Linked DNA regions of Arabidopsis thaliana. The protein of the gene in region 2 purifies or fractionates together with the protein of the main gene of each other region. This does not show direct contact. Each region holds a gene or a part of one and is shown on either strand. Other genes may lie near its edges.

Region 1 (6,529 bases), 1.2 Mb from region 2:
CTCAGGTGAATCATCTGACATTTTTGAATCTCAGTTTTGGAAAAAAAAACTCTAACCGGAGATAAGTTCATACTTGAATTAACGAGTCTTGTTATGGTGTGACACAGTTGGAGTACGGTTGCCTGGAAGATATTTGATACATCAAAATGGCTATGGAGAGGTGAGTCAAAGAGAGTTTGGTGTTGATTGTTAAACATGGATGGTAATTGATCTGTAAATTATGTGAATGGGAAAGGCTACTCTCGATCTTTCTGCAACTGGTTTAGAATAAAGTATACATAACGAGACCTAATCTCTGTTGTATGAAAAAGAGAGACAGAATTAACAAATAGGTATTGTAGTTATTTGTCTATTTCTGTAACTGGGTTCCTATGTGACTTTGGTGTAATCTAGACTTGTATATTTGTAGAATAAAATTGCAAGTAACCAGAGAAATATCTTATGAACATTTGTACATTAAACTAGGTTCATCTTGTTTGTTTGTTTGACAAAAAAAAAAACTAGGTTCATCTGTCACTTCACGTCTGAATCTGATTGATAATAATGGACAGACAAGTGATTTTACTAGTAAAAAGAGAAGAATCATCCAAAATCGTTCACATCAAACAAACATACAATAACCAAAACCACAATCTCCACTAATTGAAACCATGGAACAATTAAACAAATATAAGTGAAAGCAGAGACAAGACTCCAACAGAAATATTCTCAAAGAAAGAAGAAGGCCTTGTAGATATATCTTTCAAGTCTTTACTTACGGAAGGTTGTTTCTCATCATCTCCTCCTCTTCTTCTTCCTTTTCGATCTTCCTGGTTCGTGTTTAGCTTTATCTTTGCATCTCCCTAAAGTACAATCACAAATTTTCTTTCTTCAAGATGTTTCTCCCCACCCCAATAAGTTTTTGGTTTCTTATTATACAACCACTTTTTCACTTACTGTCCTTGTCGTAGCATGACTTTCAACCTGAAAAATTGAACTTATAGTGTAAGATTCTTTTGCTTTTTAGTAGAGGACTTAAATCTATTGATTGCAGTTAAGAATAAAGGGGCTCTCTGATCAATGGCATGAGGAGACTGTTTTGCTTTACCTTGGCTGCTTTGAACAGTTCGTCGAGGACCTCAGAGAGTGTTGGATGTGCATGAACTGCCAATTTTATGTCCTGCAGAGATACCATTAAAACATGCAGGGGATCAAGAAACAGATACAAATAATGCGTTTAGTAGTTTCAGCAGGAACTATGTATATGACTTGATTTCGCTGTAGGATATTATCAATATCAAAGGCTACGAGCTAGATTCAATAGTAATCACTAATCAATGAAATCCTACCTGAATACGCGTTCCTAGAGCAATCGCATTAGAAGCTTCATGGATAAGGTCAGCTGCATGCAGTCCAAATATATGAACTCCTAAGATTTCACCATTGTCAGGTCGGTATATCATCTGCATAATGAAAAGCAATGAGATCTCTATGTTCTTTCATGAGACATAAATAAATCAACAACTTTTGCTTCTCCCACCTTAGCTATTCCTTCTCCTTCATTTTCAGCTAGGGCCTTTGTGTTAGCCTTGAAACTTGTCTTGACAACACTAACTTTAAATCCTTCCTTCTCGCCTTTTTCTTTTGCTTGAGGCTAGCAATAATGTCAAAACATAAGGAGTTACAGTAAGCATATTTTGCTCATAGCATTCTTCTTTTTGACCCTCTTCTGTACACAAGTACTAGGATATAAAACTACCTCTGTTAATCCCACCATGCTGATTTCAGGATGAGTAAAGCAAGCAGCTGGGATGCTAAGATGATTAAGCACATGATCTCTGCCGCTGACTTGCTCGACCACTAGCCACAGAGTAAGAGCTCAGAGTTTAATACAAGGCTCAAGAAGAAAAAAGGGAAAATATTATTGCATTGTTAGTAGCCTCCTACTGATAAGCCATTTACCAGAAATTCCTTGGGCACTGGCTGCATGTGCAAGCATCAATTTACCATTGGCATCACCAATGCAGTACAAGTTCGGAACCTATCACAAGTAGAAATGAATTTAGCATATAGAAAGAATTGCTGACAAGGAAAAGGTATGTATATGCAAATAAAACCGACCAGAGTCCCCTTTCCATCGATCACACGCATTCGCTCATCAACTGGTATGAAACCTCTCTGCGTCACAACATTGACCTGCATTGAGATGACAGCTTCAAGGTTAATTTTCTGACAACTAAACATTCTCTGGTAACCAAAATGACAATACTAAAAGGTGGGATTTAGTGTCATTTCATACATTTTCCAAGCCAAGTCCATTGGTGAATGGAGCTCTCCCAGTAGCAATAAGAGCAGCATCTACCTGGAGAAGGAAAACAAAATTACACTTTCAGCGCAGAAAATCACATGGTACAATGAAAAGAAACCAAAAGACATGACTATTTATATTCTATCTTGAGACGAAAGGCCACAATAAATTCAGAAAATGAGAAGCTTTACTAATCCACCTATGCATAATGTGTATACTTACATTTCTGTGGGAAGAGTAACAATGTGGTTAATACTGCAGCGAAAAGCAAAAAAGTGAAAAACAAGACTTCTAAGGACCCACTACCAACGGCACAAATCTTCCCAATTCAGGCATGAGACATCAGATCATGTTAAGGACCCAGTAACTGTTAAATATTCTCTTTGTGAGACATCAGATCATGTTATCTTTTAAATTCCATTTGGTTACCTCCAAAGTATCCTTAGGTTCCTTGGTTTTGGCATCAATAAGCTCAATCAGAACTGGTTTCCCATCCCTTGCCGGAGTAATCTGAATAAGAATAGATTTAAGTTTAACAGATGAATACATGGACACACTGTATAGAGAAAGAGAAGCAGTATTTGCAATGCATGATATAACAGGCTCACTTTGCTTGCAAAGACTCCAGTATGATAGTCAATCTTTCTTGGATTTATCAAAACCCTCTGAGCTAGCTTACTGATCTCAGGATCAAATCCAGGCATTAGCTGATCCAGTGCTTCTATAAAAGTTACCTGCACAAAAGGTTTCCGTTTTCGATCAGTAACTACAATTTAAATCGAAAAACCAACAGATTGGTACCTTAAAATCTTATTTTCTACTATTTACACAAAAACAAGCTCAATACAGGAAGAGACCAAACAAAGAACTAGAAAATTGGAGAACATTGCTAATTGCAGTTATTACAATCTCAAGTACAAGGACACAACATCACAAAGTCGTACTAAAGTAATATCATTAGTACAGAAACATCATGTTACCTCACTTCCAAGAGCTGTGTAAACATCACTGAACTCAAGACCAATATAACCACTTCCTACAATTGCAATCCACTCAGGGACAGACTCTAATTTCAAAGCATGGTCACTGGTGATCACAGTCTTTCCTGCAGCGCCAAAATGTAAACATTCAAGGAATAATCAAGTCTGCATGCTCCCTTAACAACTCTACGTCCAAAACAAGAAACGTACCATCAACTTCAATTCCTTTAGGGACAAACGGCACAGATCCAGTGGCAATGATTATATCTTTTGCAGTAATAATATTGTCCTTCCCATATTTAACCTTTTGTGGACCCTGCAGAAATACAAAATATTGATATGAGTTAGGATCATCGTTTAAGAAAAGTTTGTATCATGTTCCTGTCTACAGTTAGTAAACGTGAAAGAATAGAACGTACTACTGAGTACTGACCAGAACACTGCCAAATCCAGTCAATATGTCAACACCAATTGCCTTCATTGAATTGGTCAGATTGTTTCGTATTTTGGTAGCCAGATTATTAGCATGATCTGCCACACCCTGACGATCATATCCAGCAGCTGAAACCTGTTTCCCAAAGGAAAACCAAAAACCATAAGATAGTGAAAGGTAATGAGTAATTCCTGAACTAGCTCGATCTTCTACAACCATTTCACACCAAAGACAAAGCTTGCAACTTTAAACAGAGAACATGAGTTGATATTTACCTGGAGACCAAAGGACTTCATGTGATGTTCGTTCTGAAGTTCCCGCATTCGACCACTAACAGCAAGAAGAGCTTTAGAAGGCACACATCCTCTGTTAACACAAGTCCCTCCAACAACATCTCCTTCAATAATGGCTGTTTTAAGTCCCTAACACAAACAAAATCACCAATGTTTCCATAATAAGCAGAGCAAATCTTTTACTTTCATCAAATCAGGTTATATAAGAAACTTCAAACCTTTTCAACGGCGTGCAAAGCAGCTCCGTGGCCACCAACTCCAGCTCCGATGATGATCAAATCGTAATCGAAAGATTTCGGTGGAGCGCCATTACCATTACTTGAAGCAGAAGCGGAGACTTGGAATGACTTCCTACTTAGAAATTGGATTCGGTTACTGCGAATAGCCAACTGATTCGACGTTGAGAAACCAAACGCTTCCCGCCGGAGTCCGCAGAACCGGAGACTTCTGGGCGTAGAGAAAACAGAACCAGATGATCCGAGCACGTGGTTTGGTCTTGTAAACGACGTCTGGGAGAACGAAAGCGCCATAGCTGATTGCATTCTAAGAGACACAGACAGAGAGAGAGAAAACGAGGAAGACGCAGCTGACAAATCTACCGGCGGAGACAGAGTGAGTGTAAATAGCCAACAAACGGAGGCGGAGTTTTCAAAGCCCGCTTTGTTTGTTTGTTTTGTTTTGTTTAACCACTTTTTTTTGTACACGAGGCATTTACGACTTTTCTTTCATTTTTTCTAACCTGGTTTAAGTCTTAAAAAGCCCATTGGGTCAATAGACCTCGTAGCCCATTTTTGGCTGTGAATATATATTTAAATTAATTTTTGGATTTTGTAACAAACTTAAAAACAAATCGCTTAAAAAACTAGTTTCTCTAGATTTTAGGAACTTTTTGGATAGTGAAGTTGATTTTCAAAATTAAAATGCTTTATGAAATACCTCGTAGCCACTTCACGCTCATAAGATCGTGTAATTTGTTTCATTAGGGTTATGTTATTACTTGCTCGACAGTTCTAGTAGTGAATTAAAAGTAGCCAGCAAGATGTTGATTTCGATGAAGAATGTGGAACTCGCATGGGAACTCATTAACCACTACTGCCAAGAAGGCTCGCTGCAGCGTCGTCCAATCAACGAATTCTTTGACTTTACAAAATATAGCCGTGGTAATTTATATAATCCATCACCTGAAAAACAAGCAAGGTAATTAATTATATCTATGCATAAATATTCATGAAACAAATTGCTTGCTTTTTTCCTTAATGGTTTTTAATTTTATTTTTCATGTTGTCCTGGTGCAGCCGTGGGCCGAGGTTGACGCATATTGGAAATTACCTTCTTTAGTTAAGGACATGTATGTATGATAAGGAAGGGACAATCTTACATGGACTTTTCCCTGAGATTTGACGTGCATGGTTGTTACACGATCGTTCTATGCTTCTATGGCGTTTTGAAGAAAGGTAAATTATATAAAACAGTTCACAACTTCAAGTACGTTTTCGTAATTTTTTGCTTTGTATTCACCAACCAGTAATGGACGAATTCTGGAGCACAAAAGCGAGGACGACCACCCTATTTTAGTTGTTGGTCTAGTGAAACGTAGATCAGATTTTGTTGAAGCCAGCGCCGCGCAATATCTTTTGGTGCTAGCAACTCATCTTGAGACTTGAGTTACTTTTTTTTGGAGTGTATTTCTGCTCTAAAAATGGTGTAGATCCTCTTGCTCAAGTAGCCAAAGAAGCATGATAAAGTCATTTGGTAAATGGTAACATGTTTATGATCATTATGCTTAAATTCTCTGTGTTTCAAGAAAATGCAATTGTGTTAACTTGATTTTTTCTATATTAACTTCGGTATATACCGAATAAAAGGCTCCAAAAAATCGATTTTAAAGATCAAATGTTTTATTTTATTTTATTAATTTATTTGTTAGATAAATAAAGGTAGCTACACAGAGCAGTAATGTTAAAAAAAATTCAAATATTTTGAGAATCCCAAGGAGGACAAAGATCAAACATTCCAGTCTTTTTGTTCAGTTTGCAAGGTCCTTCTTCACGTATCTTCCATTCGCATCTTTTGCATCCAAACATTGCAGATTCTTGGTCTCTTTCTTGTATGTATATACGGAAATAACGAAACACTAGTCTCCAAGCAAAAGTGCAAATGAATTTAGTATCTCCAGAAACACTGGGTGTAAATTCAAATGATCACGATCCACCAGCTAGCATACGTCGGAGTCCAAAATCAACGTCTTTTGATGCACAATGGTATGCCATTGGCCAATAACCTGAAAGAGCGTTATGTATCACCACTGTTGTATTTGGGTTCTCAACACTTGGTGGTGAAGCCATGGGGTTTTGAGCGAGGGACATTGTTACACTTGCACACATAACGATAATGAGAGCTACAAGTTCTGCTAGAGCACCCATGTTGTTTTTGTTTTTTGTTTTCCTTGCAATATGAAAGTATATTGAATATGGACTCTTTCCACTTAGTACTTTATTGTATTTATAATACCAAACTTTATTGATTATGTTTCCCT
Region 2 (7,053 bases):
TCAATGAATGGTTACGATTCCGCTAAAGACCACAAGATGCCAGACATCTTCCGTCAAAAATTCAACAGCATGTTCAAGGATTCTGAATCAGATAGGATACCTGTTGACAAGATCAACCTTCTGATAAGCTACGTTCTTGTGCTATCCCTTCACGTGGATAATTTCATGACCGATCCAGAAGACATAGCAAAAGATCTGAGGATAAGCACAGTTGAGCTGAGGAAACATTTTCTACAGCTTGGCTGCAAATTCCTGAAGCAGAATTCTACTACGGTTGCTACCTTACCGACCCCTCTCAATTTCCCGGAGGTTAACCGGAGGCGCAGGGCACGAAAGTGATGACGATCTAGGAGAAGATTTTGTTCTATCTTTACATATTTTCTGCTATTTTAATGATATTTCTTTGACGGTCTGTTGAGATATTATAAATTGTTTTAGTTCCTAAGACATCTGTTTCTTGGGTTTAATGATATATGATGTTTTGGCATTTAAGCAAGCAAACTGCTCTAAGTCCATGATAGTGAACTAAGTGACATTTTATTAGAAGAAAGAGATATTTATTGGAGTTGATTAATAAAATTAAGTAAATGGGTTTTATTTTGCCAACCCATGATGAACAAGCATTAAGCCAAAAAACAAGTGCACAGTGAAATTGTTGGATTCCTGATTTTATTTTGAGACAAAAATCTGTCAACTCAATGATTTAAAGAATAGCAAAACACTCAACTTTAAAGGCCATTGCCTACTGCTGATCAAATCTGGTAGAATATGTTGTGGGAAAGAAATTTGAGGTCAGAAGACTCTTATGAGTTTAGCTTTTGATGTGTGTGTGCGTCTGAATTTTAGAGCAACATAGATTCTGGGGTCTCGATGTAGCCCTTGAATGCTTTCAGCCACTCGGCTCCAATTGCACCTGCACAGGAAGATGACTTATTAGACGTTTTCGATGAGGTGATGATTAATAATGACAATAGGAATGAGAGGCGGATTCTGTACCATCTATTACGCGGTGGTCACAGCTTAGTGTTACAGACATGTATGAAGCAACGTTGTATTGGTCTGGACCAGTACCGGGAACAACTCTCTTTTCAGCTGTTTTGAGATTCAGACACCAACACTATAATAAGTTACGCGGAAGAAACTTCAACGGATAAAGTGGATGAGTATGCTAAGGACTTACCAGATCCGATTGCTAGAATGGCTGCTTGAGGTGGATTGATGACGGCACAGAACTGTTTGATGCCAAAAGGTCCCCCCAGGTTGGAGACTGTGAATGTTCCTCCCTGTCAGAAGAAACAGTTTGAGCTGATTTGCTTTCACAGCAGTATTATGCTAGTGAGATTGACCGAATTCTAAACCAACCTCATAATCTTCCGGCTTCAAGCTGTTTTCTTTTGCTTTTTGAGCCAAGAATCGAACCTCTTCTCCAATTGTAGACAGTCCTTTCTTGTCCGCGTCCTGAAATCAAGCAATTAGATGAACTGAGTTTTTCAGAAATCTCAAGTTTCTGCAGAGGAAGGTTAATAACTGTATCAAGAGCTCCCTAACCTTGACCACAGGAACGTAGAGCCCATTTTCTGTTTGTACAGCGACATTGATGTTCACATTTTTAAATCTGTACATAAAAGGAGGAAAATAAGAACCAAGAAACTAGATGATTTGCAAAGTTTTCATGAACCTCTGAAACAGAATATGTACTTACTGGCGGATGTATTCATCTGTCCATGAACTATTGCACTGAGGAACTTTTCGAAGAGCCAGTGCAGCAGCCTGCAATTTCGAAAAAGAAAAGGTTTCATAATGGAGAACAAAATGAGATTTAATTAGACTTGCAAGAAAAGAAGTAAGATGCACCTTAATAACAAGATCATTTACAGATATCCTTTTCCCACCGGAAGCCTCTTGAAATGAATTGAGTTGACTCCTAAGACTGCATATAAAAATAGCTATGTTTAGCATCCACTTACCTAATCAAAATATATGATCTAAAACTTAATACTTACCCCATCATTTTGTCAACACATGTATCCACGGTCAAGTAGTAGTGAGGAATAGTTTGCTTTGAGAATGCCAAACGTGAGGCTGTGACCTGTCAAATTTATACAATTAACAAAACTTCGGAATTCTTGGCTTATAGTACAAAACAGAGAGATATATGGTCGAGGTAATCTAGAAATACCACAAGCAATCAAGATATAAGGTTGTATAGGTATTTGCCTTTCGTATCTGAGTGTGAGGGATGTCAACATAGTCAAGAGCTGGAACCTTTGAATCCACTTGCTTGGAAGGTTTGGCAGTAGTTTCTTTACTGCCTGAAGCTGTACCATAGGAAGATGTATTAGAAATTTAGAACATAGGGATGAGGTAAATTCTGTAACGAGAGGGGAAAATGTAAGAAGAGGGAAGAGCCAAGGATTTCTGATACCTAAGAAATCTTCGACATCAGCCTTCACTATCCGTCCTTCAGGACCTGTGCCTTTAATGCTTGAGAGAGGTACCTAATGTTTTTCAAAGGAAAAGTAGGAAAAACAAATTAGAGATGGAGATCTAACACGAGCTTAACTAATATTTTTCGTCTGGAAACTGACATTATTATCTTCAGCCAACTTTCTTGCAAGAGGACTGGCAAAAATACGATCTTCTGAAGGAGCTGAGCTTGGCTTAGAGATCTTGGCTTCAGGAGCACTGGCTGGCTTCTCTACCTTCTCTTCCTTTGGTAGGGAAGGAGCTGGTTTTGCTTCAGGCGCAGCGGGACCAGTATCGGATGAGGGTGTGTAATCTTTAAACTTTTGAATATCATCTTCATCTTCAACTGTGATAGCAATCACCTAGTTGGACAAAAAAAAAAGGGACCATTTATATGTGATTCTACAAATGAAGATAAAGATCTTTGTCATTTTTATTGAATATTCATTGATCTTCAACTAAAGGGAGCATAGGGCTCACAATCAAATACTTCATGAGAACCCATTATAATTAACAAGTCTCCAAAAGTCAGAAACTCTCATACCTCCCCAACTTGAATTTCTTTTGCCCCCTCCTCCTTTACTATCTTGGCGAGAAAACCCTCTTCCATGCATTCCATTTCGACTGTTGCTTTGTCCTAAAATATTAAGATTGAGATAAGTGTTTTATTCCTGGCATAAGAATCAATACAGGAAGAGATTCAATCAGGATTATCATTACAGTTTCAACTTCACAAAGCACTTCACCAGGAGCAACTTTATCACCTTCTTTCTTCAGCCACCTGGCAATGTTACCCTGAAGTTTCAACAGATATCTTTAGTAGAATGATAAAACAATAAACCATGTTAATTTTCGTAAGAGGTATTCAGAGGTACATGCCTCAGTCATTGTTGGCGAAAGAGAAGGCATTCCAATCTCTTGATGAGGAGGAAGATCTGAAACATATTTTAAAAAGTTATCAGTAAAACAAACCATGTATGCTGCATATACACAGTGACAGAAATATGATGGCCGCAAAAGGCACAAAAACCAAGTCAGATGCTCACAAAAAAAAGTACAATTCAAGTGAAAATATATGTTAGAACAAGCGGGAAGTTACAATAAAGAACTAAATACCTGAACTGGATGAAAATCCTCTCACTGATCGCATCTGGGAGCTAAAAGCAAGAAAAGAAGCTTACAGTTAGGATAGAAGTATTCATACAGGAAGGTAGCAAGTTGTATTCTCATCGGTAAATGGATTACATACCTTATAAATTCTTTAAATAGTTTTGGTCCTGCCATTGGGCTGCTTAGTTTTGTGCTCGTTGTTGAAATACCACTAAGCATTGTTACCTATATAATGCAGCTAATGACATTACGACCAAAAAAACACAGACGATTACGTGACAAAGCAAAGACGAGAAAGGAAACTGAACAGCAGGGACTTACATTGCCAGTACCACATTTTGAAATTCTCTCTACAGAGGAATAATTCAGGCGGGCCTTGAAGATATCTGAAGACCAAATAAAAATAGAAAAATAAATGCTTAAGCGAGAAGCATAATATATACTCAAAACATACCAACTTTCAATTAATTAAAGTTGGAACGTTGTTATGTTCTTCATGTTGAAAACGATGTGAAAGTCAAACTTGGACTATTCATCCCAGAGTACTGTGTGGTGCTTGTTACCGTATCAAATAAAAGAAACCACCACACATTTCTACATAAAATGAACTTAAGGATAGCAATGAAGAGGACACTAAGAAAGCTGACTGGATTACCTTCTCTTCCAACGAGAGAGGGGTGGGTACTGTTGGAGAAACAGCGGACTGCCACAGCATGGTCACGCCGCAGTAAAGCGGAAACATGTTTCAACTGGTCAGATAACACAACAATCGTCAAAATAGTGTTTACAAAGAGCAACATACAATTACTCTGCTGTAAAAGTAGAGTCTTCTTGTACTAATAAAATGAATAGCTAATACCACAATTGAATCATAAAGCGAAGCTACTACATTAATCACAATTCAGATTACAAGGAGGTTACTAAAGCTCTCAATAGCAAAATGCAGAATTGCCCATGATCAAATTAAAAATACCAAATTCATGATTAGATTAAGTCAAACCCGGAAAACGAACCTCAGTTCAGAAAAAAATGATTGGCAGAGCAAAACACATAAGAACGAATGCATAAACTCAGTTTTACAAGATCAAAAATGGTAGTCAAACCACAGAAAAAAATGAAAAATAGAGAAAGAGAAACCTTTTTGGAATGATTGATGATACGAGAAGCCATTGTTGTGCAATCGGAGCTGCGTCAGCCGATCCGAATTCGCAACTGCAAATAACAAAAAAAATGGTGGGAATGTTTGTTAGGGGGTTTCTCCTTTTTCCCTCGGCAACTATATCAGAGATCGAGATCGATGAATTTGACTTGTACTCAATCCAATTTTGAAACAGTAAATATGTGGATGGAAGATAGGATTCGATCTAGAACTCACCAAGAGTCAGAAGAACGGTAAATCGCAGTATAGAGAGTGAAGGATCACTTGGAAGAAAGCTGGGATTTGATGATGATGATGAAGATAGTTTTGTGTTTAGGTTTTTCAGAAATGGCAAAATGCTGCCTTACATGTACCAGATTGTATCGTACCAACACCAATTCTACCATAACCGATATAAAAGTATTTAAACCGACTAATTAAGCTTCACAAATTTCGGTTTGTACTTTATTATATTGGGCCCTATTATTATTCTCTGAGCTTTTGCGTCTCACCAAAAGACAGAGATCATCAGGTGCGTTAGTGATTACGTAGGCATCTAATGAACGGCAGGGATTAGTCAAACTTATTAATGGGCCTAATCTTTGGCCCATCGTTTTCCCTCGATTCCTGTCACACAAAAAACTCCTAGCTCTTCCTCTACCTACACAAGCTAAATACATATTTTTTGCTTATCCTAAGCATCATGATTATGTTTTGCCCTCTCCAGCTTTTTCTTCAATGGCAACAGATTCTAAGAAAGTCTCTTGAGGCTAAAATCAAAGCATTTTTTGTTGAAGATAGATAGCAACTTGCTGCTTCTTCATACTAGCTAGTTACCTTCTTCTTACTCAATGTGTTTTGCTTCGTTTCAAGGATTCTTCATATCACTTGTGGAACAATTACATGATTAAACATTCAACATAGAGAGATAGATGTGTTAATAAGTAAAGACATTTTCAGATAAAACGTTCTTATCAGTCACTTTATTCTTCTAATATCCTCGTTGTAATCGGGAAAATGCTTTGTAACGTCAAAAAGCAATAAAAGTTGCAGGAGAAAGAAAGCTTTGGAAAAGAAAATAAAATAAATGAAGAATATTTTCTTTGCTAGTCACAAAATAAATGAAGAATTTATGTTCCTAATTTCCCACTAGATATTTGTTTATTTATTTTTGCCAAAATCAAGTTAAGACAATGAGCTAAGTGTTGGAAAACCTTGTCCGAGCCAAAAGAGTAAAAAGAAAGGGAATAAAGGGGTAAAACCGGAAATCCGAAAAAGAAAAGGAGAAGATTTCCAAAGGAGAAAACCCTAAAGACGGAGTATATAAACAAGGTAACGCGTTTTCTCTCAGCCTCTTTCGGATATTCCACCAGTCTCTCGCAATCTTCGCTCTTCTCTTTGCTCTCTCTCTCTCAACGCGGTTCAGATCCGAGTTTGGGAGATTCAAGCTCCCTGAAAAAAGCCCTTTACTCTCGCTTACCAACTTTGCTCCAGGTTCGCATCCTATCGGATTGTCTATCTATTATCTCGATGTAACTTTTACGATTCATGATTGTTTCTTTACTTTTGGATTGTTCTGATTTGTTTTTTTGTGTTTTCCGATAGATTTGGTTTCAACTTTGTTGAGTTGATTTGGAAGTTTTGATTTTTCGTTACTTCAAGATCGTTTTTTTTGCTGTGGAAGTGCTTTCGTTTTTGTTCTCTTTATTAGATTCTGAGCTGCTGATGATGACGATTATTAAATTTAGGATCTACACATCTGTAGATTTGTTGATGGGTTTGTAGATTTTGTTACGGCTAGGTTAGTCTCTCAATAGAATGAAATGAATCGTCTTCAAAGCTCAGATGTTCTTGTCTTAACACTCACTTGGTTTTGTCTGATTGAATGTTTTTTTTTGTAATTTGGAGAAATAGGTTGAGTGGTGTCTATGTTTAATAGATAACCATATGTGCCTTTATACATTTTCTCCGCACATCATCTGAGGCAGATATTAATGCTTGTTTTCCTCTCTTTATGGACTTCGAGTTTGGCTTTCTTGTCACATTTCCTCCTTTGCAATCATATTATTAACGATATCAAAATAGGTGTTGTCTCTCTTCCTTTTGATATGAAATCTGATTGTTTTTGTTCTTTTTATGTAGCATGGCAGGATCTGCACCAGAAGGCACACAGTTTGATGCACGTCAGTTTGACCAGAAACTCAATGAAGTGTGAGTCTTTTTACTTCTGTTTTTTCATTCTTGAGTGTGTTCTCTCCGCATGCTCTAGCTGCTAATTGTACTGTATTGATACAGACTTGAGGGACAAGATGAGTTCTTCACATCCTATGATGATGTTC
Region 3 (5,832 bases), on a different chromosome or scaffold from region 2:
ACGGAGGAGAGCTGAATGGAATAATAGAGGAGGAGTGGGTGTGTTGTGTTGTGGAGGAACTGTAAATTTGTGCAAATGACGAGGGGCAATTTCGACCTTTTAAGAAGCGGTTTTCAGAAAAGTTTCAAAGGGTGTTGTGGTAAATTGATCCTGGAGCTGGGAAATTTCCATAGAGCGTCTTGTCGTTAGTTTTTCTTTTTGTTTGGTGGATAGTCTTGTATTGCGTTATGTGACTTGTGAGATTTGACGCTAAAAAGCTAAAACGTTTTTTAGTTTGTCTAAAAGTTCTCCTGCTTACTGTCTTTCTTCTGTTATATATTTTGGATTTCTGACTTATAATAAATATACTTTAATTTTGTGTCTGTCACAATCTGTTTTTTTTTTTAATCTAATAAAGATACAGTTTGTCAAAACCATGAAACAAATATACGTGATGAAACTAGAGACGCAATCTTCGTCCTTTGATGAATATTGGTGAAGTACAAATGTCTTTTCCACAAAACTTTTGTTACAGGCTGCTCTTAAATTCTTCATGTTTACACAGTAACTTTCACACTTTGTGCTGTTACTGAAGCTGGACTATCGACCTGAAATTGATATAGACAGGAGTTGCTTGCCTTTTAATCGAGATTCGATGTCTATTGATTAGAGAATGCAAATGTAGATTCTTGTATTTTACCTTGGCTGCTTTAAACAGTTCGTCTACAACTTCAGACAGTGTTGGATGTGCATGAACAGCAAGTTTTATGTCCTGCATTTATCATCACACAAAGACACACAAAAAAAGCTCACAATCTAAAGTCCTATGATCAATACCGGAGAGAGGTTAGTTTGCAGCCAGACCTGAATACGTGTTCCTAAAGCAATCGCGTTTGATGCTTCATGGATAAGATCAGCAGCATGCAATCCAAATATATGAACTCCAAGGATTTCACCATTGTCAGGTCTGTATATCATCTGTTCACATGAAGAGAGTGTTCAGATATCTTATCTTCGCAAGTCACTCCAGAACTATATACAACTATCTTTTTTTATTTCAATTTTTGGTTCTTCTCTTCACCTTAGCGAGTCCTTCTCCTTCATTTTCGGCTAGGGCCTTTGTGTTTGCCTTGAAACTTGTCTTGGCGATACTTACTTTGAATCCCTCTTTCTCAGCTTTCTCTCTCGCTTGAGGCTGGGAATTGCATTAAAGATTACCGAAATCATAAATTAGGATTGCAATTTTTTAAAAACCAATCCACTAAGAGTGTCTAGAGGTTACCTCTGTCAATCCCACCATACTTATTTCAGGATGAGTAAAACAAGCAGCTGGGATGCTAAGATGATTAAGCACATGATCTCTACCTGTGACTTGCTCCACCACTAGCCAACACAAGTAGATGCATAGAGTTTAATAAAGGTCAATCTAACGTATTCAGTGTAGAAAAGGAAAAACAAAAGAAAGATGCATTTGGAGTGAAATATTGATAAAACCATTTACCAGAAATTCCTTGAGCACTAGCTGCATGAGCAAGCATCAGTTTACCATTGGCATCACCGATGCAGTACAAGTGGGGAACCTATCAACCAAGAGTGACTCAGTAGCTTAAAAATATATAACTTTTGGTAAGAAATAAGCTATATGAAAGAAAACTCCACTAACCAGCTTTCCATTTCCATCAATAACACGCATTCGCTCATCAACTGGTATAAAACCTCTTTGTGTGGTAACATTGATCTGTGAGGAAATCACAGCTTTTATTATTTCTTTAGTAACCAAATAAGGTCCTCAGGGAACGAAAATGAAAACATATTCATAAGGAATGGGGTTTATTGTTAATTCATACATTTTCCAGGCCAAGACCATTGGTGAATGGAGCTCTTCCAGTAGCAATTAGAGCAGCGTCAACCTTGAACAAGGAACTTATGGTCAAACTTTCAGTGCAGGCAAAAAACACATGAAAGTCTCAAATGTGATTGTAACTCCAAGACATTCTATTATTATTATTATTATTTTAATTTTTAGGAAAAGATCTGATTTTATAATACGAAAAGCCCTGGCTAACCTACAAAAGTATGCATGTCATTGATTTATATACTTTGCATGTGAAAAGAACATGTGTGAGAGTAACTAGACAACTATTTTCTCTTGTAAATTTTCAGATATCTGCAGAACATTTTGTTACCTCCAAAGTATCCTTGGGTTCCTTGGTTTTGGCATCAATTAGTTCAATCAGCACTGGTTTCCCATCCTTTGCTGGAGTGATCTGTAAAGAAGCGTTAACAAAAAAAATTCGTAAACCCACTGTGTAAGGAAGATATCTAATTTAAAATGCATGAGACAAAAAGGCTTACTTTGCTTGCAAATACTCCAGTATGGTAGTCAATTTTTCTTGTATTTATTAGAACCCTTTGAGCCAGCTTACTGATCTCAGGATCAAATCCAGGCATTAGTTGATCCAGTGCCTCAATAAAAGTTACCTGTAAAAAAAAAAAAGAGTTCCCCTGAGCTTGGTCACTTCCTGGAGTTGCAGAGCATCACAAACCTTAAGCAAAATATAGCTATCGCCCATTTGCTCGATCAGGTTACCAATACAACAACATCCTAAGAGCCTTTTGTTACTATTGAGAGAAAACAGAAAACTAAAGAGAACGCAAAAAACAACACACTATCACACCAGTGCAAATCATTAGCACAAAATCAAAATGTTACCTCACTTCCAAGGGCCGTGTAAACATCACTGAACTCAAGACCGATATAACCACTTCCTACTATCGCAATCCAGTCAGGAACGGACTCCAATTTCAATGCATGATCACTTGTGATAACAGTCTTTCCTGCAGCACAAAATATGAGGAATATTAGGGTACTTGCTATACTAAAAGAAATGAGAAGCTTTGGTTTTTGAGGCAACTCCCCTTTCACATATCATTTATACAAAAACACATACCATCAACTTCAATTCCTTTCGGGACGAACGGTACAGATCCAGTTGCGATGATTATATCTTTTCCGGTGATAATATTGTCACCATATTTAACCTTTTGTGGGCCCTGCAAAGTGCACAAAAGACTAAAGAGTATTAGGATCACCACATAACAACGACCTATCATTTGGAGTTTATATAGTCAACCAAAGACAATAACATACTGACCAGAACAGCGCCAAACCCTGTCAATATGTCAACACCAAGTGCCTTCATAGAATTGGTGAGATTATTCCTAATTTTGGTAGCCAGGTTACTTGCGTGGTCAGCCACACCTTGGCGGTCATAACCAGCAGCTGAAACCTGTTTTCCAAGGGAGTCAATGGAAGGAAACAAGAGTCAAGGCCAGGAAGATGATACTTGCTTCACAATGATTTGAGATCAAAATTGAGCGTCTACAATTGCATTCTACAGGAATTTTTACTACCTGCAAACCAAAAGCCTTCATGTGATGTTCGTTCTGGAGTTCCCTCATCCTACCACTAACAGCAAGTAGAGCTTTGGAAGGCACACAGCCTCTGTTAACGCAAGTACCTCCAACAACATCTCCTTCAATGATAGCAGTTTTGAGTCCCTATACAACGTTATCAAAACAACAATCACTCGATGAGATCATGAATACCGTAAAGAAATACAGTAATAGCTAGTACGATTCCAAAATTGGCATATTGAAGAAGATGTTGCAAAGCATTCCTGAACCATCTCTATCAAACAAAGCATATGATTCCACTATCAATTTGATCCAGAGTATTGGCAAAGCATAGAATCATAATCGAACTTGAATTCTTCCTAATTAATAAGAGGAAGAAAGAGGACCTTCTCGACGGCGTGCAATGCAGCTCCATGGCCACCAACTCCAGCTCCGATAATGATCAAATCATAATCGAATGATTTCGATGGAGCTCCATTTCCAGCGGAAGAAGAAGCAGCGGCGGAGACTTCGATTCTCCTACTCTGAATATGGAAACGGCACGAGGTCAATTGCTTCGACGGAGAGAAGCAAAACGCTTCTCGCCGGAGTCCACAGAACCGGAGATTTCTCGGCGTAGAAGGAGCTGCGTTGGATGAACAAAGCGTACGATTCGCTAAAGGAAGCGATGCTTGTGAGAAGGAAAGAGAAAGAACCGATTGCATTGTGTACGAGAGAGTGAATGAGAGATCTGTGTAGAGAAAAAGGGAGTGACGGAGATGACAAGTCTGTACTAGTCTCACTCCGACGAGCGGAGGCGGAGATATCAAAGCGGAGATGACACGTGTCACGTTTCTCGTCTTTAAACCGGAGATTTCAAAATTCCCGGCTATAATATCCAACTCTGAGCCCATTGGGCCTTTTATTTCTCGGTCTGCCTGACGTTATCTTGTGAGAGCCACGTGGGGAAGGAGAACGGCGAACAGTTCAAACGGCAGACTCCGACACGTGTGGAAAAGCAGAACACGTGTCAAAAGAACGCTGTTCTGTTTCACAATCTTCTCCTTACTTGTTGTTGAAGAGAGAAGTATTAACAGAGAAAGAGAGAAGCAACAAGTGAAGAAAGAAAGAAAAAAATGGAGAAGAGTGGAGGAAGAATTGTAATGGATGAGATAAGAAGCTTTGAGAAGGCACACTTGTTCGATCTTGGTCATCCTCTTCTTAACCGTATCGCAGATTCCTTCGTTAAAGCCGCCGGAGTAAGTTTTCATCCATATCTCTTCGTTTCCCTGTCGTATATGCATGTAACATATATGTAGTAACATAGCTTAATATGGATTAACTATGAAGGTGGGAGCTTTACAAGCCGTGTCAAGGGAAGCTTACTTTACCGTGGTTGACGGTAAGAAACTCCGGCGGGTTTCTTCTTACTTATGATTTATATGTATAAGAAATGAGTATGTAATGTAAGAGTGAAAATGAATAAATAGAGAACGTACTTTAGTTTGATTATACATTTTAGGGGCAGGTTTTGACTCGAACAACGTGGGTCCACCGTCGGAGATTACAGGGAACAAGAAACATAGGTTCCCTAATCTCAGAGGTCCGTAACATAATTGTATCATATTTGGTTGATGATCTTATGTAATCAGCATTATGTTTATCTTAATGATGTTTTATCGTTGTTTTCTTAATCAGGGGAAAGCAGCAAATCTCTTGATGCATTGGTGAGTTTATTACAATCGCTAATTATTAGCCTTTTATTATTCGTCAAATATTCGTGTGCTAGTGTGCTAGTGTGTTCATATCTAAGTGTTGCAAAATAATACATAAAGAATGGTCGTAACTCATAAGGTTTCTTGTTAGTTAACTGAAAATGTTTAAATTTGTTGGCCTATAGGTGAAGAACACAGGAAAAGAATCTCTCCAATGGGGTGAGTTTATATATGAATTTGATTAAGTTAACGCTTCACGATTAACGTTGGAAAGAGATTTAATGATTTGGGAATGGTAGGGCTAGCGGCAGGGTTATACTCAGGTATCACTTACGGTATGACAGAGGTTCGTGGAGGAGCTCATGATTGGGTTAGTCTAATTAATTTGACTTGTGTCATTTTGTTTTCATCAACGAACAAATGATGAACATGATCTTTAATTAGTATGTAATTTGATATGTGTCACAGCGGAACAGCGCGGTAGCTGGAGCATTGACAGGAGCGGCAATGGCTATGACGACGTCTGAGAGGACAAGCCATGAGCAAGTGGTTCAGTCTGCTCTCACTGGAGCAGCTATTTCCACCGCTGCTAATCTCCTTTCTAGCGTTTTCTAGATGATTTGTATTAGAAGCTTTAATGCATAAGGGTTGTTTCATGTATCAGTTATGTTTCTTTTTGTGAAAACGAATTCGCTAAAGGTCTACTAAGATCTTTTCCTGAAACTCTCGAAGCTGGAGAGAG

The links.
Region 1: the proteins of AT3G13930 (region 2) and LPD1 fractionate together in Arabidopsis thaliana (co-fractionation; one large-scale study listed by BioGRID). This does not show direct contact.
Region 3: the proteins of AT3G13930 (region 2) and AT4G16155 fractionate together in Arabidopsis thaliana (co-fractionation; one large-scale study listed by BioGRID). This does not show direct contact.

Annotation. Positions count from the first base shown.
Region 1 is NC_003074.8:5,785,849-5,792,377, forward strand, and holds LPD1 (lipoamide dehydrogenase 1), read right to left. Parts: upstream 4,678-6,529; 5' UTR 4,536-4,677; coding exon 4,212-4,535; intron 4,123-4,211; coding exon 3,976-4,122; intron 3,836-3,975; coding exon 3,701-3,835; intron 3,584-3,700; coding exon 3,478-3,583; intron 3,393-3,477; coding exon 3,268-3,392; intron 3,022-3,267; coding exon 2,896-3,021; intron 2,798-2,895; coding exon 2,717-2,797; intron 2,342-2,716; coding exon 2,279-2,341; intron 2,176-2,278; coding exon 2,101-2,175; intron 2,021-2,100; coding exon 1,942-2,020; intron 1,840-1,941; coding exon 1,739-1,839; intron 1,634-1,738; coding exon 1,520-1,633; intron 1,443-1,519; coding exon 1,329-1,442; intron 1,160-1,328; coding exon 1,088-1,159; intron 964-1,087; coding exon 937-963; coding exon of another isoform or gene 913-936; exon of another isoform or gene 843-912; coding exon 660-842; 3' UTR 537-659; downstream 1-536. Other genes in the region: AT3G16940 (calmodulin-binding transcription activator), read left to right, coding at 1-5, 108-137; AT3G16960 (plant self-incompatibility protein S1 family protein), read right to left, coding at 5,964-6,097, 6,206-6,416.
Region 2 is NC_003074.8:4,593,933-4,600,985, reverse strand, and holds AT3G13930 (Dihydrolipoamide acetyltransferase, long form protein), read right to left. Parts: upstream 5,220-7,053; 5' UTR 4,952-5,219; intron 4,789-4,951; 5' UTR 4,747-4,788; coding exon 4,714-4,746; intron 4,326-4,713; coding exon 4,232-4,325; intron 3,963-4,231; coding exon 3,898-3,962; intron 3,802-3,897; coding exon 3,716-3,801; intron 3,624-3,715; coding exon 3,583-3,623; intron 3,402-3,582; coding exon 3,346-3,401; intron 3,262-3,345; coding exon 3,187-3,261; intron 3,104-3,186; coding exon 3,011-3,103; intron 2,829-3,010; coding exon 2,589-2,828; intron 2,499-2,588; coding exon 2,426-2,498; intron 2,319-2,425; coding exon 2,218-2,318; intron 2,090-2,217; coding exon 2,004-2,089; intron 1,931-2,003; coding exon 1,855-1,930; intron 1,771-1,854; coding exon 1,703-1,770; intron 1,616-1,702; coding exon 1,549-1,615; intron 1,459-1,548; coding exon 1,363-1,458; intron 1,284-1,362; coding exon 1,181-1,283; intron 1,093-1,180; coding exon 997-1,092; intron 914-996; and 3 more. Other genes in the region: AT3G13940 (DNA binding / DNA-directed RNA polymerase), read left to right, coding at 1-339; EIF4A1 (eukaryotic translation initiation factor 4A1), read left to right, coding at 6,729-6,739, 6,857-6,925, 7,010-7,053. UniProt on the Arabidopsis thaliana protein: The pyruvate dehydrogenase complex catalyzes the overall conversion of pyruvate to acetyl-CoA and CO(2).
Region 3 is NC_003075.7:9,153,034-9,158,865, forward strand, and holds AT4G16155 (dihydrolipoamide dehydrogenase), read right to left. Parts: upstream 4,101-5,832; coding exon 3,783-4,100; intron 3,541-3,782; coding exon 3,394-3,540; intron 3,270-3,393; coding exon 3,135-3,269; intron 3,034-3,134; coding exon 2,931-3,033; intron 2,818-2,930; coding exon 2,693-2,817; intron 2,461-2,692; coding exon 2,335-2,460; intron 2,247-2,334; coding exon 2,166-2,246; intron 1,890-2,165; coding exon 1,827-1,889; intron 1,718-1,826; coding exon 1,643-1,717; intron 1,560-1,642; coding exon 1,481-1,559; intron 1,363-1,480; coding exon 1,262-1,362; intron 1,175-1,261; coding exon 1,061-1,174; intron 958-1,060; coding exon 844-957; intron 752-843; coding exon 680-751; intron 588-679; coding exon 537-587; downstream 1-536. Other genes in the region: ATOEP16-2 (Mitochondrial import inner membrane translocase subunit Tim17/Tim22/Tim23 family protein), read left to right, coding at 4,512-4,634, 4,726-4,777, 4,898-4,978, 5,074-5,102, 5,276-5,309, 5,390-5,460, 5,559-5,705. UniProt on the Arabidopsis thaliana protein: Lipoamide dehydrogenase is a component of the plastidial pyruvate dehydrogenase complex (PDC).